Linked DNA regions of Astyanax mexicanus. The protein of the gene in region 1 purifies or fractionates together with the protein of each later gene. This does not show direct contact. Links are inferred from orthologs where the notes say so. Each region holds a gene or a part of one and is shown on either strand. Other genes may lie near its edges.

What was found.
Region 2: the proteins of bicra (region 1) and ss18 purify together in Homo sapiens (affinity purification with mass spectrometry; 3 studies listed by BioGRID and IntAct, counting the BioPlex papers as one, with this or other methods). This does not show direct contact. The link is inferred for Astyanax mexicanus from reciprocal best matches to the Homo sapiens genes BICRA and SS18.

Annotation. Positions count from the first base shown.
Region 1 is NC_064416.1:29,310,078-29,326,756, forward strand, and holds the start of bicra (BRD4-interacting chromatin-remodeling complex-associated protein), read right to left. Parts: upstream 8,643-16,679; 5' UTR 8,146-8,642; coding exon 8,136-8,145; intron 8,109-8,135; exon of another isoform or gene 7,439-8,108; intron 7,016-7,438; coding exon 6,970-7,015; intron 6,851-6,969; coding exon 6,805-6,850; intron 6,281-6,804; coding exon 6,215-6,280; intron 5,960-6,214; coding exon 3,905-5,959; intron 3,636-3,904; coding exon 3,447-3,635; intron 1,871-3,446; coding exon 1,208-1,870; intron 378-1,207; coding exon 143-377; intron 59-142; coding exon 1-58. Other genes in the region: psmd8 (26S proteasome non-ATPase regulatory subunit 8), read left to right, coding at 12,313-12,423, 15,373-15,445, 15,530-15,632, 15,811-15,976. UniProt on the Homo sapiens protein: Component of SWI/SNF chromatin remodeling subcomplex GBAF that carries out key enzymatic activities, changing chromatin structure by altering DNA-histone contacts within a nucleosome in an ATP-dependent manner.
Region 2 is NC_064415.1:10,638,584-10,655,857, forward strand, and holds the start of ss18 (protein SSXT), read left to right. Parts: upstream 1-8,797; 5' UTR 8,798-8,907; coding exon 8,908-8,976; intron 8,977-11,223; coding exon 11,224-11,300; intron 11,301-13,094; coding exon 13,095-13,179; intron 13,180-13,820; coding exon 13,821-13,959; intron 13,960-15,035; coding exon 15,036-15,260; intron 15,261-15,656; coding exon 15,657-15,818; intron 15,819-16,686; coding exon 16,687-16,764; intron 16,765-17,274. UniProt on the Homo sapiens protein: Appears to function synergistically with RBM14 as a transcriptional coactivator. Isoform 1 and isoform 2 function in nuclear receptor coactivation. Isoform 1 and isoform 2 function in general transcriptional coactivation.

The DNA.
Region 1 (16,679 bases):
TTGACAGTAACACCAGAAGATGCCTGCGCTCCAGCCAGTACCTGTATATCATTAGAACCTGCGGAGGAAACAGAACCACTGTTGGAGAAGAGTTCACGAAACAGACAATACATTCCTGCAAGGCAAGAATCAGAGAGCTCACCTGTAGCTGAGGACTTGATGAGCACAGATTTTTGCTGCAGAACTGACGGGACTGATCCGCTGGCAGCAGCGCTGGCTGAGGTCATCACTTGTGCTGAAGGCTGCTCAGGTAGTTTGCTGAACTGACTTGCTCCCTGCGTCTGAGCCTGAGCCTGAGCTTGAGCTTGAGCGTGGGCCTGGGCTTGGGCTTGAGCTTGAGCCTGCTGTTTGGCCTGAAGAAGGATGTTTTGTTGAACCTGAATTATAACAAAAACACACTGATGAAACGTGTGTTCTCACGCCACAGGTTTATTGGCTCTCAGTTATGAACAACAGGCTTCGTTTTTGGAAACAGATGAAAGATTTTCTATAGCCTTCACTAGAAAAATTCACATCAAATTAAATATTTTTCAAATCATGTCCAAGCTATATTCTGAAGGATTTATTGATACTTTGATGACTTAGATCACATTGTTTTTTTACTATCAGGAAACAGTGACATCAGAAAGTCTACTAACATTTTTGTTTGATCCCTAATGGCAACCAAAGCAGATGTGAGCAAATGCAACAACAGTCCAACTATACAAACTGGATTCCATCATGCCCGGTTTAAAAATGACAGATGAAGTGGCTACTTGACTTACAACACAGACGATAAAGTGAGTATTATGTTTAGATGCCCAAAAAAACTTCCTGGTCAGAGTCACATTGTATCCAGAGCCTTTACAGAAACAGTAGGAGCAGGACCTAAACAAACCTGTGTCCATCGCAGGACAGACACAGGGGGAATCGCTGTCCTCTCAATACATCAGGTAAAACCAGAGCAAAAAGTGTGGGAGTTTTTACTGATGTTTAATCTGGAGTTCTAAAGATTTTTATGCTGCTTTCTCTGCGCTCTCAGTAACTGTTTTAAAGTTTTAAATTAGCAGAGAAATGAACAGACCACTCTCAAACCCCACCCTCCTGTCTTTTATCACGTCCCTCGACAGATCGATCTTCTCTACACAAACCTATGCATGTCTTACTAGGAGCAATTTGACTCACTGAAGATTCTTCCTGAGAAGAGCAAAACTTTAACAAGACTAACCTGGTGGAGCTTGTCCAATAGCTGCTTCTGCTGCGGAGAGGGCTGGGCGATGGAGGACATGGTCTGTATTTGGGCGTTAATCAGCTGTAAATGATGCTGCTGTTCAGGATTCAAACCTGGGACAGTCACCTGTTGCTTCAACACTGCCCCAGTGGAGGTGCCTATTGCAGTGGGTGCAAACTGGAAAGTGGGAGGGGCCTGGGAAAGCACCTGGGCAGGCACCTGGGGAGGCTTTGGGGAGCAGGAGGAGGGGGACTGCTCCTGTTGAAGAACTACAGGCTGTGGGACTGGCTGGGGCAGAACCTGGGGCAGCTGCACTTGGATCTGCTGACTTTGGGCCTGAGCTGACTGGGCCGAGAGCTGAGGCCCCTGCGGAGAGCCCCCTATCTGATTGTGTATTATAAAGAGTGGAGGTAGAGAGGAAGGTGTGCATGCCCTAGTAGGGGTCTGGGACTGGGAGGGGGGCTGCGCCTGGGGCTGAGAGGGAGGTCGGGACTGGGGGGGAGGATGAGGAGACTGAATCTGCTGGCCCAGTGTTAGAGGAGAAGCCTGAGATGGCTGTGGGCTCTCTGACAGGGTTGGCGTGGCGCTGTTGGAGGGTCCAGACTGAGAGGGGGAGGCGCTTTGGAGTTTTAGAGTCTGCTGATGTGCCGAGGATGGAACCTGGAGATCAGGAAGGAAGAGGTATAAGAGATTACTTCACCACTCTGCTTTCAGCTCATTTTCTGGATTTAAAATAACATCAAAGATTGGGGGAGGCAACAACAAGCAGCAACAACAGCAAGCAGAAATATGCCAGAATTAACTTCGAAGAAAAACTTGAAAATCATCAGCTATAAAACAGAAAAACATCTTTATTGTACAGAATATTTAAAACTGTACAGACAAGTTTAAATGTATATTATGATGTAAAACAACATGATCTGCACTTGAGAGGAAAGGGGGGGGGGGGGGGGTTGTTGCAGCGGTGGCAGGAGGACAGGGGAGGTTCACATTTTAGATTACAAAGATTGAACACCACGAGAAACCCACAGGACTTGTGTTAAACATGTTACAAAAATAAAAGAGGAACAGTTTTAATCCACAGCAGGACCAAAGCAAGCAGTCATGACTGAAGGCTCAACTTTTACCTTGCTCTTACGGGACAAGACGTGGGGTTTCATTGTGGGGGGGGGGGGGGGGGGATGAGTAGTATAATTAAAGATGTATAAATTAGCTGTTAATAAAGGAGGCAAGGTGTTCTTCCAAAACAAATACCACAACTGACTATTCATTCACACAAAGTGAACGAGCTATCAATCATTTTTAAGGTTCCTGTCTACCATTAACAATAAAAAAAAAACAGAAAACCATATTGTGCACAAAATCAAAGCACAGACTGATTAATACTACTAATGTACCAAGCGTGATTGGGTACTGGGCATGAAAACGTTATTTAAGAAGAACATTCCAACAAAAGCAAACAAAAAAAAAACAAAAGTAAAAGACTGTGGTGAATGAACTCATGTTTGATTTGTAAACTATTCTATAAATCTGTGAAGGCACAATCAATCACAAATCATATGGATCACGTTTTTTAGTGTCAGTTTTTTTGGAAAGAAGAAAATGGGGAGGACGTTGCATTTCTCAGGGCTCAGATTTTAATTATTAGACTTCAATATCTGACTTCTGTGATATTTCAGTGCATTTATTAAAGAAATACAGACATTCGTTGAAAGAACATTCAGTATACTCATCTGCATGCTAAAAAATATATAATTGTGTGCACATGTTTATGAAGCTTTTACAGTTTTGAAAATGAATCTAAAATACCTCGGAGAGATCCTCTACAGGTGTTCTTACATACAAACTGAATGTTAAACATGAGGTCATTTCCCAAACAGTAATACATCTTTTAACATAGAAAAAAAGAGGCTGTGAAAAAGCACATAAGGCACCATTCTTTGAATTACTCGATACCCACTCCACATTAGCAAAATAAGCGCAGACGTGAGGAGAGGAAACAAATACTAAAGATTATAAAATAACAGAAGCAGCAGGAGTGTGGCACAGCGACGGAGCAGGGGATCTGGTGTTGAGCAGAAAGGTCTGGCAGACAGGAAGGTCAAGATAGAGTGTGTGTGGGAGTGTGTATGTGTGGAGGGAAGGGTATAGCTTGGCTAGGAGAGAGGGTGTTCCAGTATGTGACCGTGCCAGCAACAAGTGGGTGGGGCTTAGTGCAGAGCACAAGCTCATCTACCTTGTTAACCAATGCTGCCATGTGAGCGGGGCCGAGGGAGGGGCTCGGACTCTGCCCCGGGCGAGTCTCAGCTAACGGGTTGTCATGGCCTGCAGGGGCGGGACCAGAGCTGCCGCCGCCGCTGACGATAACAGATGCAGGTACGCCCACAGAGGCGGGCGGGTCTTTCCCTGCTTGATGCTGCTGGTCCTGACACGAGCAGATTGGTCAGTTCAGGAGGGGACACTTACAACAGTAACCCAAAGCAGAGCACATTCAGCAGGGTTTTTACAGTGTAAAAATACATACCCAAAGCAGGTGCAGACCTGTACAGCTGCACGGAATGCTACGTTTCTGCTATATCTGACTACTGAATGTGGTCCTGATCACAGGTTAGTTTTATTATCTGCAGTTTACGTTAGTTTAATGAATACTACACACTACAAATACAAAACAGAGGAAAAAAAACACACACTGACCTGCTGCAGGAACATCTGCATGGACTCTTGACCGAGGATCATACTGGGGCCTGGTGGTGTGAACAACACCTTTCCTGGACTGTGCTGGGCCTGGTGGCCCAAACCCAGCGTCGTCACTGAGGGCGCAGATGTCACCACTGTAGAGGATGGAGCTGAAGAGGAGGGAACCGATGCTGGCGCCGAAACAGATGGAGCCGTCTGTACAGTCAGGATGGAGGTTTGGGGTTGCGGTTGGGCAGCCTGCTCAGTTGAGCTACCCAGCACAGTGATGCTCTCCCCAGGCTGGCACTGTGCCATTGCTGCTGCTCCAGTGCTGCTGTTGGTGGGAATGCCAGTAGCCTGCTGTTGAAGGGTTGGCTGCAAACTGACTGCCGGGCTTAGTCCCTCTATTGACAAGGAGTTTTGGATAGGCATGCCCTGTATAACCGTCTGAACGTGTCCCGTCACTGGATGCGCTTGGTTCTGTGTCTGGGCTAAGGAGACAGGCATCTGGAAGAGTGTAGGGTGGCCCATCTGTCCAGGCTGGAGCTGGATGGGCCCAGAGAGAATGTGGGCAGCACCAGGATGGCCCTGTGAGGCCAAAACCTGGCTAAGATTGATGTTCTGATTAGCTGTTAAAATCTGATTAGCAGCGATTATCTGTCCACTTGGTCCCGAACTGGTGATAATGTGACCCCCAGGATGCTGAGCCAGGATCTGTCCTCCAGCCTGAAGCTGAGGGAGAAGAAACTGATGGTTCTGACCTTGCAAGACAGCCTGAGAGGGAATGACTATGCTGCCCTGTTGATTTAGTAAATGGACACTAAGGGGTTTGCCTGATGCCGGAGCAACCTGCGACTTAAACAGAGCCTGGGGGAACTGTGCCCCCTGGGTGGTGGCCTGGGTACTCAAGACAACGTTTGAACCGGGCTTGCCAGTTAGGAAGGCTACATTCTGAGCAGCAGACACTGGAACCTGCTGCACTCCAAGAGCCTTACTGGCATCATTCTGTAATACATGTGGGGTTGGAAGTTGTTGTTGTTGCTGTGGCTGTTGTTTAAAGAGTTTGGGTGGTATGGTGCCACCTTGCGGAGGTTTGGGTTGTATTGGAGTTGGTGTTCGCTGGATGATGACATTCTGCATAATTTGGCTCTGTGGCTGAGGTTGAGTTTGAGATCCGATCCCTGTGCTTAGGGCAGCACCACTAAATCCCACTATGCCACTTGGTGTGGCCATTGCAGTGCCGCTGCTGTTGGTGTTTGTGGTGCTAACACAGACAGCAGGGCCATTCAAAGATGGGGACCCTAGTGTAGCCTTGCCTCCCTGAATCAAAAGTCCCCCTCCAGAGCTAAGCACAGAACCTCCGAGTCCAGTTTGGGCTCCAGAACCTGCAGTCTCTGGCCCAGGTTGATGCAGCTGATAACTACCCATGGGTTTAGTCAGGATCTGCTGGCCAGATGGATTGATAGTCATTACAGTGGGTTGGCCCACAACCTGAATCTGTCCAATGCCCAAATGTCCCGACTGGCTTCCATTTGGTAGAGTCTGAAGGCTTGAAATGGGTTGAAGGGTTACATTTCCGAGCCCGACAGGCTGCATGAATGGCTGGACACTGATGGCCTTGTTCATAACCTGTGGTTGAATCTGCAGGCCCGGGTGAGCCAGAACTGAACCAAGCATATCTGTGGTCGCAGTGGAGGGAGTGGTAGTGGAACCTTGGCTGGGAAAGATCTGTGTAGCTCCTCCAATGCCCACCCCAGGCAAACTACTGGTATCAGGCAAAGGCTGGACTACCTGTGTCAAATTAGTTAGCCCGAAAGAGCTAAGATCAAGCTCAGCTTCCGCCTCTTGAAGGCTCTGTTCTGTAATGTTAGCTTCCGCCAGACTCTGTTGCAGAATGTCACATGGTTCGTGATTTGAGTCAACGCCATTGCTCCCACCATCTCCGCCTCCTCCTGGTGAGCCTCCGAGGATGTCATCGTCCTCCAGGAAGTCCAAATCGACGCTGACTCTGGGCAGCCCAGATGGCTCGCTTGTCGATAGCTGAGCCGGTGGCTGGACTTCAGGAACGTGTCCCTAGAGAAGAAAGAAAAGCCATGGTTTGCAAGTGAACACTGTTTCATGCAAAAGGTGAGAAGGGTGAAGGGGAATGGTAGGGATGGCTATGGGATGGTAGACCTCCAATACACCAAAGGACCTGACAGCTTTATTGATTCACCTCTGACACTTGCCAGTACTTCTGCACCGGATCTGATGGTCGGGAGCGGAGAAAGCATGCTACGTAATGGGATGTACACGAAAGGGTGGGGAAAAATGGGGGACAATACTCACCCCAGTACCAGAGAAGAAAGAGCTGGACGGGTCACTCGAGCCATCCAAAAGGTCGTCAGTGTCCAGCTACAGACAGACATACCCCAGATAGGATAGACAAACCGCCACGCCACAGACAAGGAGACAGAAGGGTCAGGGAGAAGATGCAGAAGGGCAGAGGACCAAAGGTGGAAAGGCAAAGGAAAAGCAAAGTGAAGATAGTGTCCAGATCCATCAGAACACAAAAGCACAGCACACAGTTTGTGCGCAAGTGAGCAACGGGACAGTTAAACAGGTAAAACAGGAGTCAAAAGACAGGAAACATTAGATTAGTACGTCGTATTTGTGTTTTAACAAAAGAGGAAAGATGAGGGATGAGGTAGGAGGTGCTGCTTTAGTTGACAGGAAATCAGCAGAACAAACCATTCAATAGACAGAAACCATCACCGGAGAGGAGCTGGACAAGCTGAGCAATTTTAGCTAACGTGATGTACAAACGTCAGAGTAGTGTTTATGTGCGTGTGTGTTTTCAAAGAGAGGCTTTTGATAGGACTGTATCAATCTAACATCCCAACACTTTCTAATATGATGCATCACCAGGAACTACTCACTTGTGTTTCTGATCCATGAAGAAAGTCGTTGAGAGCTTGAGGGTCACTGCAAAATGAAAAAAATCAAATCAGAAGACCAAAATATACCACCATGTTGATCCAATAATTCAATATTTAGCATGCAATTCTCTAGATTTGGTTGGGTGAAAAGAACGGTACACTTACCATATAACATCTAGCAAGCACCTGCCATCTTCATCATCCATGTCAACTAAAAATCACAAACGTTGTTTAGTGTTTAACAATACAAACTTTTCCAATATAAAAGCAATGTATAGTTAACTATTACAAAAATTATTAATGATGTATATCAACATTAAAACCCTTTTAAACAGGATTAATAACGTTTTTTTACTAATTTGTGTTAAAAAATACCACATGCTATTTTACAGTTTTATAGGAAGAGCTATCACATATCAACAAACGCAAATAAAGTACCAAACATTAAAATGTCAGATTTCAAATGATAACCAGATTTACAAAATGTTAATCCATGAGCATAGAGGTATCAAACCCAGACCTGAATATCTTAAAATAACACTGTACAATGTTGCTGTTAAAAAAATATTAAACATAAAAATCTAAATGATATCTAAAGTTATAGGTTTAAGTGATAACTATAGAGAAAATTTACCTGTAGCTCACAAACAGTGCCTATCCTCACTCCTCACCTAACATATAAATAAAAAACACCATAGACCACAGAACAGCTTACAGAACTTACAGATCAACTTCATACCGACTTTATGTTCATGACTAAAGATAAAAGTATTGATACGTTTGAGTAAATCACACTGTATTTACTTTTGGGTAAACAAAATTGCATTCCAAGTATTATTTCAAGCTGAGCCAATCAAAACACAGATTTAAGAAGGAGATCAAAACAAGGCCATCAGTTCAGTCTGATAAATACTCCTAAAATAAATAAATAAGCTCCTGTAGTCCAGTATGTGTATGAGACTGGTCGCACTGGTAAGAAGAGCTGGAGGAGGGAAAGCGCGCTCTTTCACCATCACTCATAACAAACCCGCACTCAAAACAAACCTCCAGAAACACGCGCACAGAAACTTTATTGACCCTTAAAATCATTTTAAACCCCTTTAAACCTTTAAACCATTAAAGCCTAAAAGCCCTGTGCTAAATCCAACATCAGCTCGAGCTCAGTGTTCTGCTCTCAGTCCCACAGGTTAGTTAGTTAGTTCTCTAGGGTCCAGGGTAAACTTGACCCAAGCACTGCAAACACGGTGTGGAACTGAGGGCAGAAACATATATAAACTCTCCATTACCGAGCAGAACCGAACCGAGCCCAGCCCAGCCCCCCTGTAACGCACCTAAAAGCATCCCACTGCTGAGGGTTCAGGACATGGACGGAGGTTCCGGAGCTCCGCAGCTCGGGTTTAGCTATGTGCGGAACCACAACTCCGCTAGAAACAGCGCCGAAACAGCGGCCCGCGGGGAGCGCTCCGCTCGGCCCGGGGAACCGGGGGAGAGCTGCCGGTGGAGAGGCGGGTTCGCAGGGCGCGGGGTTTCTCCTCGCTCGCGGTTCTGCAGCGGTTCCAGTTAGCACTAGCAGCAGCAGCTGTAGCCTGTTAGCACTGTTAGCAGCAGCAAAGGCAGTTCGGCGCTGCTACCAGGTTCAGACGCAGCAGATAAATCTGACTACAATAACTGGACCCGCCTGCGTGTACGTGTGTTACACGGCCGCCCCGCGAGGCCCACACGGAGCTCGGACCGCGGCGCTGTGGATTCGGCGGGCCGAGGCGAGCTGCGCACCCTGGTATCTTTATCCTCGGAGCTAAAGCTGAGTTTATGTGGGAACAGTCCGGGACCGGGGGGAACGGGGGAACGGGAGGGGGGGGGGTGCTTGGGAATTCGCTGTTAAATCCACCCGTTCTCCGGCTCGTGCAGGACCGGGCGGACTGGGGGGCTTCGGGCGGGTTCGGGGGTCGGTGTGCAGCATGCAGATGTTGCAGCTTTGCAGATGTTTTTGAGATTAAAAGAGAAAATGCTACATTGTAACAAACTCACCCGAGACGGTAGAGGTGCAGGCAGCGCGGGGTCTCCGGAACGGCCCTGCACGGGCTCCCAGTCAGGACCCAAGCACAGAGCGCACAAGCAGGAAACGGGGGGCCGGCGCGTTCGCCTGTTCATAAACCAATCAGCTGTAGGACCGAGGTCGCGGATACAGCCCGCCCTGATGTTTAAAAATTATCACTCTATGTGTGCTCGGTGCTCAGAGAGCTCGTGCCCTCATTTTAAAACAGCATTTTTTATTGTGTGAAGGCGTAGCCTAATAACCCAGGCTCGGATTCAAGCCTGAAGCTGTTGCTGCTACACGTTTATTAAACGATCTCTTCGTTCATTTGTTACGTATACGCTTAAGCGCAGCTGCTAAATTCATGAAAACGGGGTTCTTGGCCGCGCGTGCACAAAACAACCCCATTAAAGTGGAGCGGTCAGAATAATCAGCAGGCGTTTGAGCGCGCGGCTCCGACCCGGGTCCGGCACCCATTATGGCATGGAGAGCTATTTTTGCTGAAACACTGCGGAGCGCGATTGGACCTGTTTTTAAACATCTCGCACCGAGGGCGGGATCTGATCCCGTTTATTATTTATATCCCGTTTTGTCGTGAAGAACGGAGGACCCGAGCGGATGGGTACCGAGTGACGGGATTAAAAGGGGGCGTGTCCTATAGTTTTGTTTATGTCCTGTGATAGGTCGAGTTTGAAGTTGTGTACAGGTTGGGTGTGGCCTGCGAGAGTTTATTTTGGCACACGGCTTTGAAAAATAAATAAATAAATGGGCTACTGATGGATCTTTTTTGTGATTCATATCAATCGACTCACCTCACCAAAAAGAGTCAACTCTTTCGGTTCCTGAGCGGCGAATTATTTTGTTTTGGATTTTTTTCTTCCATAATTAAACTGCAAAATTTAAAACAGATTGCAGGGACGACTTTTAAAGGCATATATAAGCTATTTTACGCCACAGAACATTTCTACATAAAATAGTCTATAGTAGAGATGTGGTCTAACGCAAAAAAAAAAAACAAAAAAAAACATATATTTTAACACGCTGCACAGAAAAGAACATGCATAATTGTATAATTATAAATGATGTTGTTACTCTCGTCTACTCAATTAATGCATTCTGTAAGTGGTCTGGTTCTTTTTTGAGGTTCATGGACAAAAACATTTATTGTTTACGTTACCTTATAACACGTTACCTTATAACTGGATCACCTGTATCTGAATATTTTGTGTTAGAAAAAAATAACCCTTGAAGTCATTCATATTAACAGGGTTATTGAAGGTTCAGAAAGTGATAAATGTAATCATCTTTAGAAGAATATATCAGCCAATCAGGATGTCAGAATCTCATAACAGGAAGCCAGGATATATATATATTTTTACAGCAATTGATGTGTTGGGGTTATTTACCCACTATCACTTTATTCATCAAAAATAATTCATGAGGCTGGAGTTATCCTAAATATCTGAGTGTTCCCTGATTGGGTGAGGAACGGAAGATATTAAGAGGAGAAAAGGATGAGTCCACTGATTTTAAATGAGAGTGTGGTCCTTTTTTCTATGTAAGAAAGCAAAATATTATTTCTCTGAGCTCTGGAACTTAAAAAAACGGACCAGGTTGTTTTTACCCGCAGGTTGTCCATCATCTGGTTGGGGTTTACTGGACTGGACAAAACCAGATGCTAGTCTGATGAATTTGTTTTGATGAATAGGTGCAAACAAAAAATTCTTAACGCAGAAAACTGAAGTGAAGTGAGACACACTTATTATTCATTGTATAATGTAGCTGTCACGCAAAAACATTAATCGTAATTTTTTTTCTCTTCTATACATGGTGTGGAACTGGTAGTTCTTCATGAAGAAAATGCCTATGAATAATATTCCAATTATAATGCCTATTCTAGACCAGCTGGATTTCTTTTAGCATGGCAGTATTTAAAACCCACTTTGAGCCTACCCACTTTATCCTTTCACCTGTGAACTGCTAGACAGGCCCTGCGAGAGTCTAAAATGAATGGGGGGTGAATGGAGCTAAACGGCTAAAAATTAGAATTTAAAATAGTTAATCCACTTTGCATAGATATTCTTTTAATTTTGTAAAGTAGAATAATGTATTTTGCTAAAAAAAAAACTATATTTTTCAGTTTTTCTACAGCAAAATTATTTTAGGCAGAAAGTTGTTAGCGTTACTGCTGCAGTAAGCTGATGAGTTACAGCCAGAGCTTGTTTAATAACAACTGGTGTTTAAATGCATTAAACATTGTTCTTTGTTGAACAAATATTCTGTATAAAAGTTATTAAACATTAATAAACTTGCACAGTTGCTCTATATGTACTCATTCATTTTGGACTTAATCGGGGGCGCCCTCTGGTGGACAAAAAAAAGGAATCAGATTCTCAAGTGAGTTTATCTTTTAATTTGGGAAATTATGGGAAAAATAACATTGTTAAGTCATGAGACAGCAGTTTACTATGATATGACACATTTGGGTAATTAAACAACGCAAAGACTGGCAAAAGCCACATTCAAATAACTATAAAATAATAAAGTAACCAAGTATATTTAAAAAAAAACATATTTGATATATATATTTTCTGTTTTTAATTTTCAACATACACTTTCCTTTTGATTCTTAAAATTATTTTTGATGGCAGATTTAATGTTTTGTGTAAATTTAACTCTATAGATTTCACAATGCATTTTTTTTTAATTAAATTAAAGTGTTTGATCATGGTGTGACTGCTAAAATAATACTTGGTCCCTCTGTATATATTGTGGCCTCTTACTCAAAAAAAATCCCAGATTCACTGCTCTATACTGTTTTTTGTATATAAATATTTTTATTTTATAACATTGAATACAAAATCTTGGTGCAAAGTACATTAAAGTAGGGAAAATAGAAAAAGGCACATACAACAGTGTAGGGCAAAAGGGAAAAAAATTGCAAGCATTCAAAACAAAAGGAGTTTGGCAATATGTGAGGATATTTTTTGGGCACATACGGACTTAAGATGTGTAGAGATGACTTAAGATGTGGAGATTTGCAGCAATGACTGGATCTACCGCTGCAGATATTCTTTTGTCATAGTGCTTAAACAATTTAGATTTAAAGGCAGTTGTGAGAACAATATTATCACACTTCTTATCTGTTAAGTTGCCGTCCCCTTTTGTGAATTTGGGTAGGAACACTAGAGTGCGGTAAAATGTTTTGTATCAGATGGATCAAAGCCACAGGAATGGCTTTACACAATTTCAGATATTCTTTGTGAGTACAATCCAAATCAAATTGGTCAACAATTTCTTTGTGATTTAACAGAACACCTCTACTGTCCATTAAGTTAGTTACAAACCCGTCAAGTGGGTCTTTTCCTCTCTAGCTGTCTGGGAACGACCTCTCGTGTCCATAGCAACAGCATTTTACGACAGTAGCAGGCCGTATTCCAGGCGGCCGGTGTCGTGGGTTTTGCAGAATCACCATGGCGGCTGTTCTGAGAGAGACCGCGGGTCTGTATGAAACCCTGAAAACCGAGTGGAACAAGAAGAGTCCGAACCTCAACAAGTGCGGAGAGATCCTCACCAAGCTGAAGGTAAAGCGGGCAGTTCTCTGTTTAGCCGGATAGATCAACGAGACCCGCGTTTATTACTGTTTTCGGGGAGCGGAGCCGCGGCTCGCGCAGCATTAGCAGTTAGCGATTAGCCAAGGGCTAAACACCGAGCTCTGTCTGTTTGTGTTTATCTGAGATATACATTCAGTTAATTAGTTATAAACAGCTGATTGATGGAGCACCTCCTATATTTATATGTTATTTCTGTGAAATAATGCGGTGTTTTTTTAATATAATGAATGTAGTGTTACTAACAAGCTGTGCAGTCAGCTGAGTTAACAAATTAGCTAGATAATGAACGCCGCTCTGTTTGAGCTAACTTATAGTTAAATAATTGATATTTAGACCTGACCACTGGAACAACACAATCAGAACCCAATCAACTAATTAAGTCTTATATCAGCATTTTAACATTAGCTTAGTTCGTAATTATTAGTCTAATACAGCTGGATATGTATGGCGACATTTGGCTGAGTAATGTGTGTGTATGTGTGTAACATACACTCACTCACACACGTGTGTATATGTATATATATATATATATATATATATATATATATATATATATATATATATATATATATATATATATGTGTGTGTATGTGTTATGTTATACACACTGTATTGCCAAAAAAAAAAAAAAAAAAAATATATATATATATATATATATATATATATATATATATATATATATATATATATATATACACTGCTCAAAAAAATAAAGGGAACACTCAAATAACACAATATAACTCCAAGTAAATCAAACTTCTGTGAAATTAAACTGTCCACTTAGGAAGCAACACTGATTGACAATTTCACGTGCTGTTGTGCAAATGGAATAGACAACAGGTGGAAATTAGCAAGACACACTCAATAAAGGAGTGGTTCTGCAGGTGGGGACCACAGACCACGTCTCAGAACCTATGCTGTCTGGCTGATGTTTTGGTCAGTTTTGAATGTTGGTGGTTCTTTCACACTCGTGGTAGCATGAGACGGACTCTACAACCCACACAAGTGGCTCAGGTAGTGCAGCTCATCCAGGATGGCACATCAATGCGAGCTGTGGCAAGAAGGTTTGCTGTGTCTGTCAGCGTAGTGTCTAGAGGCTGGAGGCGCTACCAGGAGACAGGCCAGTACACCAGGAGACGTGGAGGAGGCCGTAGGAGGGCAACAACCGAGCAGCAGGACCGCTACCTCCGCCTTTGTGCAAGAAGGAACAGGAGGAGCACTGCCAGAGCCCTGCAAAATGACCTCCAGCAGGCCACAAATGTGCATGTGTCTGCACAAACGGTTAGAAACCGACTCCATGAGGATGGTATGAGGGCCCGACGTCCACAGATGGGGGTTGTGCTCACAGCCCAACACCGTGCAGGACGCTTGGCATTTGCCAGAGAACACCAGGATTGGCAAATTCGCCACTGGCGCCTTGTGCTCTTCACAGATGAAAGCAGGTTCATACTGAGCACATGACAGACGTGACAGAGTCTGGAGACGCCGTGGAGAGCGGTCTGCTGCCTGCAACATCCTTCAGCATGACCGGTTTGGCAGTGGGTCAGTAATGGTGTGGGGTGGCATTTCTTTGGAGGGCTGACAGCCCTCCATGTGCTCACCAGAGGTAGCCTGACTGCCATTAGGTACCGAGATGAGATCCTCAGACCCCTTGTGAGACCATATGCTGGTGCGGTTGGCCCTGGGTTCCTCCTAATGCAGGACAATGCTAGACCTCATGTGGCTGGAGTGTGTCAGCAGTTCCTGCAAGATGAAGGCATTGAAGCTATGGACTGGCCCGCCCGTTCCCCAGACCTGAATCCGATTGAGCACATCTGGGACATCATGTCTCGCTCCATCCACCAACCTCACGTTGCACCACAGACTGTCCAGAAGTTGGCGGATGCTTTAGTCCAGGTCTGGGAGGAGATCCCTCAGGAGACCATCTGCCACCTCATCAGGAGCATGCCCAGGCGTTGTAGGGAGGTCATACAGGCACGTGTAGGCCACACACAATACTGAGCCTCATTTTGACTTGTTTTAAGGACATTACATTAAAGTTGGATCAGCCTGTAGTGTGTTTTTTCACTCTAATTTTGTGTGTGGCTCCAAATCCAGGCCTCCATTGGTTAATAAATTTTATTTCCATTGATGATTTTTGTGTGATTTTGTTGTCAGCACATTCAACTTTGTACAGAACAAAGTATTCAATGAGAATATTTCATTCATTCAGATCTAGGATGTGTTATTTGAGTGTTCCCTTTATTTTTTTGAGCAGTGTATATATATAGAATTAAGCTTTTATTATTTCTACAATGTCACAACATTCATATTTGCACCATTGCGCAAAGTCTCCTCCAGCATCTCAAAGATTCTCAATGGAGTTCAGCACTTTAGACAATCCGTGTGTAAAAATGATGTCTGATGCTGCCTGAATAATCTGAGCCCAATGAATCCTGTCATTGTCATCTTGGAAAATGCCTGTGCCATTAGGGAAGAAAAATACATTAGTGGAATAACCTGGTAGGTCAGTATATTTAGGTAGTCAGGTGACACATTTGGCACATAAATAACTTTGCTGAACCTAGACCTGACCACCTTCAGCTACCCCAGATTATTGCAATGCCCCCACTGGCTTGTAAGGTAGGCACTAAGCATGTTGGGTGCATCACTTCAGCTGCTTCTCTTTCTCTTCTTGTATTTTTATGATCTCTTGCGAATTGAAGTCGTTTTTGATGGGTAGCCTCACTGATTAATGTTGGTTTTCTTGATGTTAGACAGCTGTCCCAATCCTGTGAGTGTGTAGAAAAGGTCTTACTTTCACTGTTATACAGATCCCTGAGTTCTAGTGTTGTTTTTCTTCCATTTGCTTTCACCAAATGTTAAGTGATCATTGATCACCATCACCCTTTAAAGGCTTTTTAAATATTTGATTTGCAGATATCTCTTTTGGAACTTAATTTTTTGCCAACCACTGGGACCAAACTCACCAAACAGCAGCTGATCTTGGCCCGTGAGTATATTCCTGGAAGACATATAAAAATATATGTATTTTTAGCAATGGTGAATTTCAACACTCAGCTGTTGTGTTTTGCAGGAGATGTGCTGGAGATTGGCGCACTGTGGAGCATCCTAAAGAAAGACATCCCCTCTTTTGAACGATACATGGCTCAGCTGAAGTGTTACTATTTTGATTACAAGTAATTTTTACTTTCATATCAGAAAGTTTTAACTCCTTTATTTTCTATTACCCTTGCTGGCATACCAGTATGTAGAATTGTAATTTGTGGTTGGTGGTGTTTAATAAGAAACAGTAAACCTTTGGCATGATAGAATTTTCTATTGGTTCATAACAGTTGGTCATCATATCTTAAACAGGGATGAATTACCAGAGTCAGCGTACATGCACCAGTTGCTGGGTCTCAACCTGCTCTTCCTGCTGTCCCAGAACAGAGTGTCTGAGTTTCACACAGAATTGGAGAGACTCAGTGCTAAGGACATTCAGACCAATGTGTACATTAGACATCCAGTCTCATTAGAGCAGGTGAGTGTGAAGAACTGTGACAGATGTGGGTCAGTACACATGTTGTAATTATGATAGGCTGATCCACATTTTTTTCCATTTAATTCTAATACACATTTAAGACATCTTTCTTTTTTTTATTTTACTTAATGTTTTTATTTATTTACTTTTTTATGTTATCACAAATATTGTTTGTGTTGTGCTTGATGCCGATGCTGAAATAGACTTAAGTACAGATGAAAAATATAGATGAAATCACTGAATTTAAATGCATTTTAGAGTATTTTTTTTTAAACAGAATCTCCATAGGGTGTAAATTTACCAAAAGGCTGTGAAATCCACTATTTTCCACTAAAGACAGTTACTGGTAATTGAAAAAAAGGATAAAATAACATATATATATACATATAATCTCTTTACTCTTAGCTGAAGTTTAGTGTATTTTTAGAAAATACATACACTACAACAGTGTTGCTTTTCGGCATTCCCAGACTAAAATACATTTAAACAAGCAACATTTTACTTGAAACAGCTAATTTCACTAACTAGCTTAGTCATTACAGCTTTTTTAGCATAAACAATCATGAAATCGTGGCAGATGCTGATTAAACAGACTAAATGGTGTAATTCAGTGCGAGTAACAAGTCTTTCTTTATTTCATTTCTACACTGAAATATCTAAAAAAAAAAAAAAAAAAAATCTTATTTAGTCAAAGCAGCAAGGA
Region 2 (17,274 bases), on another chromosome or scaffold:
GCAAAATTAGAAAAAAATGATTCAGAAACTGAAGTGATCTCTTGTTTTTTTCAGAGCTGTATGTAAATGAATATATGATCAAGGGTGTACGATAGGGCCCTTTATCTCTCAATAAGCTGTGTTTAAAAATTTATGTTTGAACAACGACTGTTTTACCTGTATGTGAGCAGCTATATGGCACATACTGTCTTGTGTGTCGCTACAGAAAACGAATAGGCAGTCTAGTGTTGGGTGTTTTGAAAAACCAAGTGTTGCTAATGAACGAGTAGATATAGCCTATGATGCAAACTGTGCATCAGAGTCATCAAAGACATGCCCTGCAGCACAACGTATGCTGAAGCAGGCAAAGACTGTTTCAAGATATGCAGCAGTACACGACAAGATAAACATATTCCATCTTTTTAAAAGAGTTCACCAGTAGTGCAATCTTCAGTAGATGTGAATATAATAAACACATTTTGGTAACTAAATTACAAGGAACACAACAAGTTAAGATAAATTATTAAAACTTATCATATTGACTTGCAAATATGATGAATTTGACTTTGATTAGTTTGTAGTCTGACAGAATGTGTCATAATCCCTATGAGGTCAATAATAAGACGGCACACTGAACCCAATTCTTGTTCCCCCACCCTTAACTCACCATCATTGTGGTCTCTGGGTGGACTCTTGTCCACTGGGTTCACCTTTACTTGGGTATTCAGTTATATTTGATATACATGTAATTCTGGACTGCCTGTCTACATTGGTGTTGGCCATTAGAACAAGTTACCTTTTTTTTTGTATGCAAAGAGTGATTTTTATGCTGGCTTGAAAACTACAATGCAGTAAATTTGCAGAGTCTCTGCTGTCAGTAGTTTATTGCTCTTTTACAGTGAGATTCTTTACAATGTAAAGCTATTTTTTATGTGGATATATTGTGCTGAAATTAATTGGTAACGAAGACCTCTAACATTTAAAGTACATATGGTTATTGTAAAGAATAATTACTGTTCTATAATGGATGTATATATGTCAAAACGTACTCTTAAAAAGCTTTAATACTCTGTAATTAATCCACAGTATTTTTTTTTATCATATTCTTATAATAGAGTTATATGCTGTAATCTTTTTCCACAGTAATTTTTATCCGCCTGTAACCACAGGACCCGAGTTTAGAAAAGCGAAAGTAAAACATTTTTTTGTGCTTAGACTTATTTATTCATCTGTAATTGTTTTTTTTTTATCATTTTTATTACCTTTGATTTATGACCTTTTCTTATCTATGATTTTATGATTCCTATTAATTTCTTATTTTTATGTGTTTTTGTTTTTTATCTTATTTTAAAGTATCTTGTACAGTATATCTTAATAAAATGCTGGGTCTTTTTATTTATTTATATTTTTCCTTGACATCCGTTCCTTACGTATTGGCTCAGCTACATTGTAAATGAGGGCCACCATCAATAAAGGTTGATTGAGAACATTAGAACACATATTACACAAGATAAGATGTTTAAAATGAAACTCTCTGAATCAGGACACTTATTTTCATGCAATTTGGCTCTGTACACCAGTCAGAAAATTCTGGATTGAGGTTGTTCGATACCTTTCAGACTTAACAGATATTAATATACGACTTTTACCTTCTTTATGCTTACTCGGAGATGATATGGCTTTGGAACCGTTAGAATTATGCAAAAAGAAAAAAAAAATCCCAATATTGGGATTTAAAACTTTAGCTAAAAAAACTATTTTATTAAATTGGCAGTCAAACAAAACATTACAAGATTAAAGTGGTTAAATCTTTTAATAGACTACATCTATTAAAAATCAAAAATTGTTTCACACACTGAACACAATCAACAGCAGTTTAGTATTATTTGTACGGTGGCCGAGAAAGCCCAGCGCAGTGCAAATTGAAAAGCACAAAACACATCCATCAAAATTACAACACAGGCGCAGCAAAAAGAAAAACGCGCTGCAAACAGAACCACAACACAACAGAAGTGAGTCACAACACAACAGAATTTTCCCGGGGGACCTTAAAAGATGCTGTAACAGCTGTGTACAAAGGACCATAAGTGGCAAACAAGCTTCTGAAAAGTAAGTTATGATTATTACCTGTGATTACCACGGTTGTTTGCATATTATTAAAAGTTCTGCTTCACAAAACGCCTTGTTTGCCACTTATTGTCCTTTGTACACATAGTGAAGTCCGAGACGTTACTGAAGACGCAGCTTAGCTGGTACAGCATCTTTTAAGGTCCCCCGGGAAAATTCCGTTGTGTTGTGACTCACTTCCATTGTGTTGTGGTTCTATTTGCAGCGCGTTTTTCTATTTGCAGCGCGTTTTTCTATTTGCAGCGCGTTTTTCTATTTGCTGCGCCTGTGTTGTAATTTTGATGGATGTGTTTTGTGCTTTTGCAGCGCTTTTCAATTTGCACTGCGTTGGGCTTTCTCGGCCACCGTATATTTGGCCCCATTATGAAATCTTGTAATGGCTAGGGGCCGGCCGAGTGCTTCTTCGGCCGCCAGGGGGAGGTCTTGAGCCCCTAATCAGACCCGATCCTCCACCCGTTTTCGTTGCTCCGCCCCATTCGGCGGAGCCTTATAAGGCGATTAAAGCGGCCGCGTCCCAATCCGCTCGCTGGTTCAGCTGTTAGAGCATTGGGCTGCGGCCGCGACAGCCTGGGTTTAATAAGGACTTACATATATATATATATATATATATATATATATATATATATATATATATATATATATATATATATATATATAAATAAAGATATATATATATATATATATATATATATATATATATATATATATATATATATAAATATACACACATAATATAATTGTATAATATTATATATCCTATTAATATATATATTAACGATTATATATTATTATTATTATTATTATTATTATTATTATTATTTCCCTTTTTTCTTGAGTTTACCTGCTTTGAGATCTACTGTTCTGCCACTGGGTTCTACAACTCTCTGGGCTGGAGTGCCACCTATCTGTAGCACTCCAACCCATTACAAATCTATAGTAGTAAAGGAACCGATGGCACAGCTATTTAATTAAAATTTGAGCATAGTAATTAAAAAGACATAACCCCCAAATATTCTATTATTATTGTTTTTTTCTTTTTTTTCCTTTTTTCTGTCTGTTGTTTTTTTTCTCCCTTTCTCTCTTTCTATTAATATATGTCCTCCCTTAGGAATAAATCATTGTTGCAGAGTGAAATAAAGTTTTAGACCTCCAAAGAGGGTGGTGGGTAAAATAAATAAATAAATAAAGGTTGATTGATTTATTGATTGATTAAATGAAGATCGTTATATGGACAAGACAAGCTGTGTGTGTTTGTGCGAATTTTCACACCTATGTGTCACCAGTGGGTGCAATTTTATGAGCGCTGTCCAAAAACATTTGGACATAAAGTATGCCTGTCTGTAATATTTTAAGAATTAAAAAAATGTATCAAAACTATTGAAAAAATAAAACAATATATCAGGAATCAAGCTGTGTATGTGTGTCCAATTTGGTGTGATAACTTAAGAAGCTTTTAAGCCTCTTTGTAGACCTTTCAGACATCTGAATCTATCAATCACCCCTGTGAACTAATCTGACTCGGACACCAGGTGAGTCAGCATTACATAATTACATACATAATTAAAACAAATATAGGTTTCACTGCATATTTACATACTATATACTAAATCTATCTATATCTCAGTTAAGTCAAAACTATACGATAGATCTGTCTCACTGTTTTGGTTGATTGACAGGCTGTTTAAATTGAAATCATTTTTATATGATAATCCTCCAATTGAAGGTCATTACTCTGAAATTCTGGAATAGACGACTGGAAGCAATGACCATGAGCATGAACAATTCAGTCGATGGCGTCCGAGTTTTATCCATTAATGCAGTATTGAGAGACTTAACGTGTGTGTATAATTTATAGAAATGTACTTCATCCAGACTTTACGCCTGCAGTCATGTTCTTCTGTGGTGGAGAGCATAATAAAGATGCTGCTTCTGAGCAGAATTCAGCGGACATCAGGATTCCTTTCAGTTACTCTGAGCAGCAATCCCGCTAAAACATTTCTCTGAATGCACAAGACCTCAAACTGCTCAGTGATTACTCATATGGGCCTCAGACAGAGTTATCAAGTAACTATGTACAAATACTTTGTACTTAAGTAAGTAGAAATGTTGGCTATCTATACTTTAATGGAGTAATTATTATTTTACAGTCGACTTTTTGCTTCTACTTCATACTTTTTCACACACTTATTTAAAAATAGCCTTGTTACTTCTTTTTAATTTCAGCTTGTTTTCATTCCGGCTTCTCATTGTTCAATAAAACCGCAATCCAGATAAATCTCTCCATCCAGATAGAGTATAGAGAATCTGATTGTGATTGGATGTAGAGAAGTATAAACATATACCATTCCGACTCCCTATTGGTTTATACCATCACAGCTGCATACGTCACGTCCCCCCCCCCTCCCCCCCACACACACACACACACAATCCAGCAAGAACATAGCAGACGTATGTAGCCTAGTATGAAGATGATCCGTGCAGAGACGCAGAGTCTCCCTGAAGCTGCGGGAGTCTCCCGCATTTCAGTAGTGGCCCCCTGATGCCCGCAAGTCACATATAATCTCCCGGAATTCAGAACGAGTGCCCCAAGAGCGCACTGCACACAAACGCACACACAGGCGACAGACTTTTTTCTCCAATCGCGTGTGGGAAGGAGAGAGAGAAAACAGAGAGGATTCTCATTGGCCTGTTCTCTGCAAAGAGTCTGTGAGACAGCCAATCAGTTTTTAGTGTGGGCAGGCAGTGTTTTCCCCCCTCCCGGACGGGATTTGTTCAGTGAGTGTGAGAAAGCAGATCATGGCGGAGGCAATATTAATAATTATTGTAATATGATATGAAATATTTTTGATGTTGTGCAATTTTTTTGTGATATTGTAACTGTCATTTTTTGTCAAATAAAGGCTTTTTTTCAAAAAAAAGAAAAAAAGGAAAGCAGAGGCAGGGCCTTCCAAAAAGAAAAAAAGATAAAACTCATTTCATTTCACCTCTGAATACTCTAAATTTAATTTAAAAAACGTAAAATTAATTAATATAAAAGTAAAGTTTCGTTATCCTTTGGTGTGTGTGCGCAAGTTTTTTTTGCTTGTTTGTTTGTTTGTTTTTTTTTGGGGGGGGGGATGGGGGGGGGGGGGGGGTAACCTCCCTGAAATCAACTTTTGCAACTTGGGATGTCTGGAACTAGAGAACTCCAGACAAACTCCAGTCTAACTAAATTTCTTTAATATATTTACATTCTACTAATATACATTAATTTTCAATGGCATTTTTACACCTTACATTACTTTAACGTTTATACTTTAAGTAGTTTTGAAAGCAGTACTTTTACATTTTTACTTACAGAGTAAGGAGCTTGAGTTGATACTTTAACTTTAACTACAGAAGTATTTTAAATCCTACTATCTAAACTCTATACTTAAAGAGTGGATCATTTGGCCTCACATGGGTGAAGCGTGGGCTGGGTGGGTTCCAGGTAGGTATAGGATCTGTTGTTACTGGGTCCCAGTTGAGCATTCCAATTGGGTCCCACTGTTAGAGCCCACCTTAATTTTACATGGGTCTCATCTAGGCCCCAAATGCAGTGTATAACCCAGATATAGCCCATATTTAAACTCTCTTGGACCCATCATTGACATCCTGATGTGTGCCCAACATGGGCCCCATGGACTACATTTTTTGGGATCCAGTTGGGCTTTCCATACAGGCCCCACATGAGCATCGTATTTTGGAAATAATCTCAAACATTACTGACAAATCTATCCTGAAAATCCTAAAAATGCCAAGATGTAAAAAACAAGCCTAAAATGTTGTTTGTCTGCTCCAGAGATTTCTATTCTTTTGGCAGTATTCACTGCAAGTATTAGAAGGGGTGTTCACAATCATTTGCACAAATTGTGTATGGTATAAATATTCGCAATATAATTATGCATGATATAAATATTTTACTGAACTGTTTTCAAGAACTTTTTAAGGAAAATTTTAAAGCATTTCACGTCAGCCGCTCCACATGACGCCTTGGATGGTGAAATCCAACTGTTTCACTGTTTTCCATCTTTCCAAATTGTTGCACTTTGTTCTTGAGGATGATATGGAATGCAACTAGCCGCTGGTCAAAAGAATACTGATGAAGCTATTAACATCTTCAGATTCTTTGAAGTTTTGACTGATCGATCGCAGGGGTTACACTGTTACAACCCGCTACATCATTCCTCTCAGCAGGGCTCTGTCCAACCACCTTAAACAATTCTCACCCAAATACGACTTCAACTAACTCAAGGCTTCATTTACAAAGAGCTCTTACACAAATACTTCAAAGCCCAGACTGACCAGTGAAATTCAGCAGCACGCAGAAAAACAGGCAGCCTATTAAACCACCTGTCAGCAAAACTGGACTGAGCATTCTGTCTGTAGTCGTGCATCCTCTCTCCCTTCATCCTACCAGCAAATAAACAGAAATGCAGCTCTACACTTTTAAAAAGTTAGGTCTAAAAGTGTTCTTTGAGGTGAAGACTCCTTAGACTCCATAGACTCCTTTCAATGTATAGATCTAAACCTGTAAAATGAATCATGTTATCATTGTTACTATATGAGTACATTAGACAATAAAAAAAGCTTCAGTAATATTGTGAGTAAAAGCAAAAGTAAATTGCATTTCTCACGTCCAGTAACAGAAGGAGCACTTTGTGCTGCAGACTGTCTCACGTGACTTGACTTATTAGACTGGTGGCAGAGTGAGGTAGAGTAAAGCAGAGCAAGGTGGAGTGACATAAAGGCAGAGTGAGGGTGATTGAGGTGGACTGAGGCAGAGTGAGGTAGAGCAAAAAAGAGTTAAATAGAGTGAGGTACAGTGAAATATGGGGAGGAGGCATGAAAATATTAAACCAGAGCAAGGTGGAGTAAAGTAGAGTGAGGTAAAATGAGTCAGATGTAGGTAGAGCAATATAGAGTGAGGTAGAGTGATATAGAGGGCGGCAGCATGAGGCAGAGAGATATAGAGTGAGGCAGAGGGAGGCAGAGTGAGATAGATTTAAATAAAAATTGTTTTAATAGTGTGTTACTCTTTAACCCTTTGAGACCCTGAGTACATTCCAATGGGCATCTTGTGTTTTCTTCTTTACTTCATATCCTTTCACATAGCTCAGATTGAGACCTGCTGTCCTTCAGAATATACATTTATCAGCCAGTCAAACATGAGTTCAGCCCCGCCCACTGCACTGGAAAACAATAAAAATATCTACACACTGAAGTAAAGCACAGCTGCATCCCACTTAATGAGGTTTATTTTATGGTTTATTTTACCACTTAGAAATGATTTGTAAAACAAACAATTATATAAAAGATATATAGAATAAGAAAAAAGATATAGTTTTACTTGTTTGTATTACTGGAAATAATTCAGGTCTGAAAGGGTTAAGAAATGGCAATTTCTCTAACCCCGCTCTTCCTTTATTTCGATTTTCCATTTTTTTTCATACTAAACTACAGTGTAATTATTTGAATTGTATTTCATCTATTAGTATGTCTACTTTTAGTATGTCTCCTCAAAGATAAATGTGCTTCTTAGAAGAATTTAAAATAGAAAACATAATCCGGTTTCTTTAACACATTTTTTTAACATTGTTATTTTCTCAAAACAATTCTGCATGTGTTCCCGAATAGCTTTAATATAGTTTTTTTTTAATATTCACCCCGTTCTTTTTCTGCAGTAAAATAACTTATTTGCATTCTGAAAATGTGAGGGCTTTGACATTTCCTACAAAAAACACTTGTGCTGGAAACTAAAGGTTTGGAGGACATGAACTGTTTGATTTGTATTTAGGAAAATATTGATTTTTAAGGAATGTTAACTTTTATTATTATTATTATTATTATTATTATTATTATTATTATTATTATTATTACTATTTATATTGACGTTAAGGGAAGTGCTAACTTCATTTTACAATTACAATCAAAATTTGTAGTAACATTTATTATTAAACATGAAAGCTTTTTATGTAATGCTTCAATAGAAATCTTCAAAATTGAAAATTGACAAAAATGCTGACCTGTTAAGGGGTTAAATATACATTGTAAAAAAAAGCAGAAAAAGAAAACACATTAAAGAAGAGGTGGAGAAGAGGTGTGTCCAGACTTTTGACTGGTCCTGTAAGTATAGCTTTGGAAACACAATTCAAAAATATGAACCACATGATTAAACTCCCGCCATCTTCAAAAAACACACAGTTCAGCCCCTGAGCACATCTAATCCAGAGGTGGCGTGACCACAATAACCAGAACTACAGCCCTTACAGCGTCCTTTAAATACTAAAATAAAACTTACTATAACGTTACACATAATTTAATTAATATAAAACTAATATTAGCAGTGTTTTTAGTGTGAGTTTTATGTTTTAATGGTAATGTAAATCCTTATAAATAGCTGGAGCTGCCTGTGGCTGCTGCTTGTGTGTCTATTAGGACTGAGTTTTGGACCAAACCATTGTGGAAGAGGTGGGGACTGCGTGACCTTGTATAAATATTTGAGTAGTTCTAACTTAATTGTTATTAAATACACACATTTTAAAATTTAACGTCATTTTAAAGGTAAATTATGCGTGGATTTCAAACATTTAACTATGTTAATGTCCGTATTTAAGCGATAACACCAAGCCGTAGTGGAGTGACCCCCCTAAAAAGGGGAGAATAGAAGAGTCCACCAGGCTGCGCTGCTGTAGATAGCTGTGTATGTGGGAGATTTTTGAAGGCGAGCTGAGAGATTTTTAGTTTTATCGTCGGATTTTCTCTTTTTTAAGAGCTATAACCATGTCGGTGGCGTTTGCGCCTCACAGACAGCGCGCTAAAGGCGATATTACACCCGCAGGAATACAGAAGGTAATTGTTTTTAATACAGAAAAGGGGTAACAAACGAAACGGTGGCAATTGGTTTCTATGGAGGGTTGTTAGCCAGGAAGGTTGCTAAGCTAATTAGCTTAGCTATAGCTAGCGTATGTCTAAATATTGTTTTTTGAATCAATGTAATCTTTATTAAAATTTTGTTTTCAAATTTCCTTCTGTTAAACAATCCAATAAACGACCACATATTCTCATTTTAGTATATTTAAATGCGCTAGCTAGTTAGCTAACCTATAGCTATTGCTTAGCTAGCTATGTAAGCTAGCTAGCAAGCTAGGTTAGCTGTACTGTTAGCAGGCTAGCTAGCTAGCGCCTTTGTTAGCTAGTTAGCCCAAAAAACATATAAACGCCTTATTTTAAGAGAAAGTCTGGTCGTGTTTTAGCGTTAATAGACTTTTTACAGTCACTCAGCGTGATAAATTAAGTGGAAAATTCCAGTAAGGTTTCAATAAATGTGCTGTGAATTCACGCTGTAGCAGAAACAGCTCATGTAGGTTAACCTAGCTGGGTTAGGTTAGCTAACTAGCTAATCTACAGCTAATATTAACGTTAATCTGATTTGTTGTCCTTTCTTTCTCTGTGTGTAATTTAACATTATATTAAACCCACAGAGGGTAAATTTGCAATTTTACAGCAGCGCAGAGGAGAGAGCAGCAGTGTCAGGAAATATACATCAACATATAATATATATATATATATAAAAGAAAATAAACATTTAACGTTATATGTACATAACGCTAATAAATAATATCCCAGACCAACTGTTTATCCAGACATAATTCTGTAATAAAAACAGTTTAAAATCCTAATTGTAACATATATGGTACAACAACAATTTAAAGTTTTGCCCTAGAAGTCATGTAAACCTATTATATAAAACGTAAAAAAAATATTAAAGCATGTAAATCGTTCACATGGTTAAAACAGACCTGTAAAAGCAAAAGCACAAGCACTAACCCAGTACACTTACATTCTGTAAATGAGTATTTGCCTTGTTTTGACAGGCAGACAAAATGCATCAGAAGTAGCAGATTCTGCTTTTCAAATGGTCTGTTATGCATAGTGCAGTGATTCTTATTTAAAGAGGAATTTTCACTCTCTGTAATATAATGTGCAGTAGGGTTAGTGTTTAAGTATTGATGGTATCCTTGATATGTTTATTGTTAATGTGTTTAAAAAATTATCACTATGAAAAAAATATCAATGTATTGTCCAGATATATATTTGTAACTTGCAGAAGGACTACACACGCAAGCAAATGTTACATTTTAACTCTCAATCAACTGTGTACAAACAAAAAAATGAAAGGCTTCTTCTGAGAAATTTGTTTTTTACATTTTTGGGGTTTCACATTTACTTAGCTAACTCATCCTTACATAGACAGATCACTGCCTTAAACCATTTTAAATGCACAGGTTATATACAATAATGGATCTATTGAAATAAAGTATAAGATAGAAGTGTATATGCCTAGAACAGTTTTAATGTTATAGCCACTAAAAAAGAGCAAGGCACACATATGAACATTAAACATTAAAACATTGTGAATTATAAAAAAAAAATCTCTGAAGAATGTTTTCATTGGTTTCACATATACCCAGGGTTTAGACAGTTCTGGGGTAGACTTTATTGTCTTATTAAATACTCTGTAAAAAGGTTTAAAAACAGAATGGTGAATGAAACACAAACTTGCTTTTATTGTTTTGTGGACAAGCTTTACCGCCCCACAACCCAATTCTGGATGGCTTTCTACACCTGAACATCTCCAGAGCTTTCCATTTCATCCAAAGAGTTTTTCAGAGCATCATATTCTACTGGCAATGCATTTATTTGAAGATTATACAAATTGTATACACAGTTAAACATGTATATCAGTAATGGTTGCACCTTAATTACTGATTAGATGGGCTGTTCAACCCCTTCTACCCATGCCTTTGCATAATCCCTGTTTGAGAATCTGACCCATAGTGTTTTGAGCATAATTGAGTCCACTCCCACTGGTTGGGTTTGCCTGCCCAGGACAGGAGGTTTGCTTCTCGCACATATAAGCTGTCTTTTCTCTCTTGAACACATGAGGTTTAGGGTTAAATCACATGGTTAGAATTAAAAAAACATGTACAGGAATGAAGACTGTGGGTAACATTTTTTGTTTAAAATTTGTTCAGAGCTTTTTCTGAGGTCAGTTTAAAATGAGTAGAATTAATTCTAAACTTTGTTTCTTTCCAGCTTCTCGATGAAAACAATCAGTTGATTCAGTGCATCATGGACTTCCAGAGCAAAGGCAAAACTGCAGAATGTTCACAGTAAGTTTGTTTTTTGTACATCTTACACCATAAAAGGTTAATGCACTGATATGTTTTTTAGTTTAGAAAAAACGTAAGTAGTTGTTGTAGGTAGGACTGCAATGTTTATTTTGTACTAGAGTTGCACGGTGTACCGAAGGTTCGATTCTTTTTCGATACTACGTCATCACAAACGATTCGGTTCTTTAGCGTTCGATGCTTTCGATACTATATAGCCCAGTCACTAGCTTCAAATGAGTCAAAATAGTAGGCGCGATTTGATTCAATTCATAAGAAAACTGATTCACACCGCAGCAGTCGGTGTGGCAGGATTCAGGTAAACTTAGTGTTCTGAACAAATGAATCGATTCACGTGTGAATCGATTCATTTGACTCGCTTGAGCGACACACGCACGCGCAAGCCAGCAGAGCAGCAGCGAGAGAGAGCAGCGGCGAGTGTAGAATGGCGACGTCTAAAATAACAGATGTCTCTCGTCCGCGACTTGTGGACAAAACGGGCGCGAGGAGTGAAGTGTGGGCAAATTTTGCTTACATCGCTGATGAAGAAGGGAATCCGACCAACACCACAAACCCAGTTTATAAACGGTGTTATAAGTCTATCCAGTGCAGAGGAGGGAACACAACCTGGCTACGCATTTAGCAGACAAGCACCCTGATCTCTACAAAGAGCTGAGAAGTCGACAGGTTAGTGGAGTTAGTCAAGATACACTCTGTCTGTAGCGTTACTAAGATTTACTAGCCCTGGCCCGCCGGCGGGCCAGAAATTTATAATATTTAATATCTGGCTGTGTTTATGAATAGTTATAGGTTCAATATAGACACCCAAAATGCCATTTTAAAGCTTAGAATCTCGGCTTTTCAGTTATCTAGCCCATTTAGCTGGATCTCCTTTCAGAAAATAAACATTTAGGGCGAAATATGCCTTGCTTCTGAAAATATGAAATCATAATTTTCATATTTCCGTTTCTCGTACGTCCATATTTGATCGAATGCGGACATGTTATACACCATTCGAACCGTCTGTCTCTCCGGATTCGCTCCGTTTTACTGTAGGATGTACGGTTCCTGAATTAGAGCTGAAAGAGCGCGTCACAGCGCGTGTTCAGAGTTAAAAGCTGCTTGTTTTTCGCTGCAGGGTTACCTCAGGTCACTCCCTCCACCCCCTCAACCCCCACCAGCGGCTCCCCCACGCTCTTACCTTCAAAACCAGACTTAAGAGAATCCATCAATCCAGTCTCCTGCAATCCCCAATTATATACAAACAGCGCATGAAATAAACTAAAAAATTATAAAAAATTATATATATAAAAAATAATATCCACTTTATCTCCTTATTAAAAGCGTAATTTTCGAGGCTGCATGTGATAACGCACGTGTGGTTAATCTGCAGTCCAAGGAGAACAAGGTTGACAGAAGACCATGTGGACACACTTGTTTTCCTGGCTAAGAACCTTAAACAGGCAAAGAAACTTCCCACAGTGTAGTTTCAGAAAAGAAGAGGTTTTAGTTTTTAGGAAGTGTTTAGATAATTATGTTATAGTTAAGGTTATAATAACGAAACTTGTTTTTTGTTCAAATGTTTCATTTTAGAATAAAAACGTTTGCTCCGATTGTTCAGTGTTCAATACAGTCCAATCAAAAATAAACATTTTATGTTCAGATATTTTTATTGTTTTTTTTCTTCCAAGTATCGTTTTGGTATCGAGAATCGTGATACTACAGTTGGTATCGGTATCGAAGTCAAAATTTTGGTATCGTGACAACCCTATTTTGTACTCTCTTTATCCTCAACAGTTACCAGCAAATGCTTCACAGAAATCTGGTGTACCTGGCCACAATAGCAGACTCCAATCAGAACATGCAGTCTCTTCTACCTGCTGTGAGTACTGACGTTGTTTTTCACTCTGCTGATGTACTTAATAAGGGAAAGCCACACAGTTTAAGTCTTAAACATCATCTAACAGTGGTCTAAGGCAGCAAAGGGGATTTAAAACACATACTCAACTGCTGTGTTTTTCATTACTGGTACTTAGGGCTCCAAACTGTGCACATTTGTTTGTGTTTATTTGTGCTTAAAAAAACGCAATTAAGACCCTGAAGGCTGTTGTTCCTAATTGGTACAGGAGAACCAGGTCTGATTTTATGTACTTTTAAGCTGAGACTGAAATCTGCATTAAATTCCTTCAGTTCACATCCAGTTCCTTTTGATTATTTGGAACATTCAGTTTTTCCCACAGAACTTTTAGAATACTTTCCATGTTTCTAGTAGTCCACTGGCAGTGCTTCTAAACCTAATATCTCTTATAGATAAGAAGCTGATTTGCCTTTTTTTTTGTTCCTACATGCTCTGGCATTGATTTGTAGGCAACCTTGAGCCTGGTAAACTAGCATGCCTCAGTTTATCATGGTTTGTAGTTGTCTGTAACAGTCTGTATTGCAATATGTTGACAATTGTGTCTTCTGTAACCTAATTTGACTTGGTTATTCGAAGTCTGATTAACAGAGTTTCTCTCTCTGCAGCCACCCACCCAGAACATGCCCATGTCGGGGGGAATGAATCAGAGCGGCCCCCCTCCACAGCCCCCCCACGGCCACAGCATGCCGTCAGACGGCCCCCCTGCTCCCCACATGCAGAACCAGATGAACGGCCAGATGCCTGGTAAGGGAGCGCTGTCCCACTCTGCAGCTCTGTCTTCATCTTGCTGTCGCTTAGCAACACTGCAGGCTCCCCTCTGGATGGGTGATGATATCACCCGTTTCTTTGTGCTGTGTGATGTTTTGGATGCACTGTTGCATCAGTTTTGTGTTTATATGGATTTTGTAAGATAAAATACACTAACTGGCCACTTTATTATAACCACACTTCTGTTTCTACACTTGTTGTCCGTTTTTATCAGCTCCTCTGGCCATATTAGAGCAGTTTGTAGTTCTACAATTAGGATCTCACTACTGCAGTGATTCTAGTTTGGGTGTTTCAGATAAAGCAGTGCTAAGGGAGTTTTAAACCGTTGCGATAGTCAGCCACATCGTAGATGTAAAGTCAGAGACAGAGGATCATCTGTTGCAGAACAGTTGATCATGTGTTGGTCATGGACATTGTTCGCAGGATATTTCTGGTTGGTGAAATATTCTCAGTGCAGGACTGATGCTTAGGTGTTTAAAAACTCCAGCAGTACTGCTGTGTCTGATGCACTCGTACCAGCAAAACACATACTACCTCCATATCAGTGTCACAGCACTGATAAGAATGACCCATCTCCCTAATAATACCTACTGTGGTAAAGGGTAAAATGAAAATAATAAAATATGCAAAGAAATGGAAGAACTACAGTTTGTAGGTGGTGTTATTAAAATGGCCTTTTGGAAAATAAATTGATTTCAGAAATAATTTGCCAACATTGACAAATAATTTATTCCCTACTCCTCCATGCAGTATTCTTTCAGCTGCGTTCAAATCAGCCTGTAATGTCGCCATAGGGTTTGACATTTTCACACCTGAAAGAGCAGAATGAGGTTCGAACCAGGGTTTATGTGTTTGTTGCATTGTATACGTTTGGCTTCTCTCTATACTTTACTTTACATTAATGGGTTTGTAGAAGGTTGTGCATCACATGGTGTTGTCAGTTTGGCAAGTTGTCTTTCCACTGTGTTGTGCCGAATTCCACATTGCTTTTAAAACTTGCTTTACATAAAGTGTCTCATTATATTGTAAAACCCTGTATGGTTTCTCTGCAGGCCCCAACCACATGCCCATGCAGGGCCCTGGTCCTAACCAGCCACCCAACATGCAGAGCGGCTCCATGAACATACCTCCCAGCAGCCATGGCTCCATGGGGGCCTACAATCACACCGTACCCGCTTCACAGGGCATCCCCAGCCAGGGACAGATGAACATGAGCCAGGGACAGCCAATGGCCAGCTATGGTCCCAGACCCAGCATGAACATGCAGCCCAACCAAGGTAATGCAGGGCTTCTCAGATGACCTGACTTTATGTTAAGTTAAGATTATTATATAAATCTGGCAGTTGTTATTTACATTGTGGCAATGTCCTGATAAATGAACTTGTAAACACACACTTTTATAATAGAGCATTTTTGCATAAATTTGCATAAAGCATATCTATTTGATTACACTTGAATAATCCTCAATTTTAAAATGTTTTTTTTTTTTTTACTGTGGTTCTCCCAAAAGCTTAAATAATGCACTTTTGAAATATCTGCAACCTGTTAGTCTTTTGTTGTTTCTTCAGGCATGTTAAATACTTTAGGATATATTTTATATAATATATATAATGTAATATAAATGACAAAGATTTACATCTTGTCTGTTTTAATAAACATTGTTTTGTCTTTAGGTCCTATAATGCACCAGCAGCCTCCCTCTCAGCAGTATAATATGCCTCCTGGTGGTGGAGGGCAACATTACCAGGGTCAGCAGAATCCAATGGGCATGATGGGCCAGGGTAACCATGTGATGGGCCAGAGGCCCATGCCTCCATACAGGCCACCTCAGCAAGGTTAGACTTTTTTTACTACCTCCATGCTCCAGCTTAGCTCTGTTGGAAAATATTATTTTTATACTTAGAATGAAGATCAGTAAGATTTGCTTCTGTTTCTGGATTACATGCGGCCCAAGTTTGTTTAACAAACTCTAAAACTGAACAATTTTCTGTTGCCAAAGTGACCCTGTATGCTGTATGTATAATACCGTACATGGATTTTAGGCAATAAAGCACAATACTATAAGCATACTATTAAAAGCTCATCAGAACAGATGCAGGTAAATGGACAGCTCACCTGGTTTCACTAATCACTGATTTAGTGGTTAAAGCTATAGATTAGATTGTTATCTAGTCAAAATGTTTTGCAATTTATTTAAAAATTCTGGTTGATACAGTACAATTTCATCAATTTCAACATCAATATGAACATTCAAAAAGTCACAGGATAATTGCCAAGATTGGCCACAACAGATGTCTGTACCTACAAACTTCTGAACAATGCATTCCTTAATTTATGTAATGCACCCTGTAATGAACGTCAGTCAAAGGCAGGAGCTGTTCATTGTTAATGAAATGCTTTATATTGCAAAATATATTGATGTTGAATTATTACACAGCCTTATTATCATGATGTAGATGTAGAGATGTTATGCCTAGTTCACACTTTACTATTTTAGCCTGTTTTACTATTTTAGCCTGTACAGCACTGTACATGCATAACTAACTTTTGATGCTTTAGTTCCCAGATGCTCAAATCTTGTTTCTGTTATATATATATATTTTTTATCTTAATGTCTCCATGTGCACCTCAGCTACAGTAATATTAAAATGTCTATTCAGTAAATTCTTTCAGCTCTAAGCTAAAGGATTTTGGTGTTTTTAGGGCCTCCACAGCAGTATCCAGGCCAGGAGGACTACTATGGAGAACAGTACAGTCATGGAGGTCAGGGAGCACCTGAAGGTAGACAGACTTGCTATTACCCTCACCACCCTCCTTCCCTTTGAATCCTTGTCACCTGACACCACTTCTCCACTTATACCTCTCATAACTACCTGCTCTAGCCTGGCAGTCTTGTCCATCCGTGCCTTACATTATTAAACTGTATATATTGCTGAATCTTGGCAGCTTGCACCAGTTTTCCCAGTGCTTTGTGTTGATGAAATTTGAGTGCTTTACTTTAGGCTAGGATTTGCAGATTATTATGGACTGATTTTCTGAAATTCTAAATGTAATACTGAAGACCTCAAAGCTATACTGGAATACATTCTGAATTTATATGTAAAAATGTGTTTACCAGACCAGAATATGTTTTACACTTTTTAGCACATTTATCTTTAAGGACAAATCAGTATCTCAGCTGATCAGGTTTAACTTCTGCCTCAGGCTGTGCAGGACTTGTTTCAGGGTTTGTGTATATACAGCAGCTGGAGAGGGCCACCTGGTGGCCATTGGGCTTGATCACACAAGCAG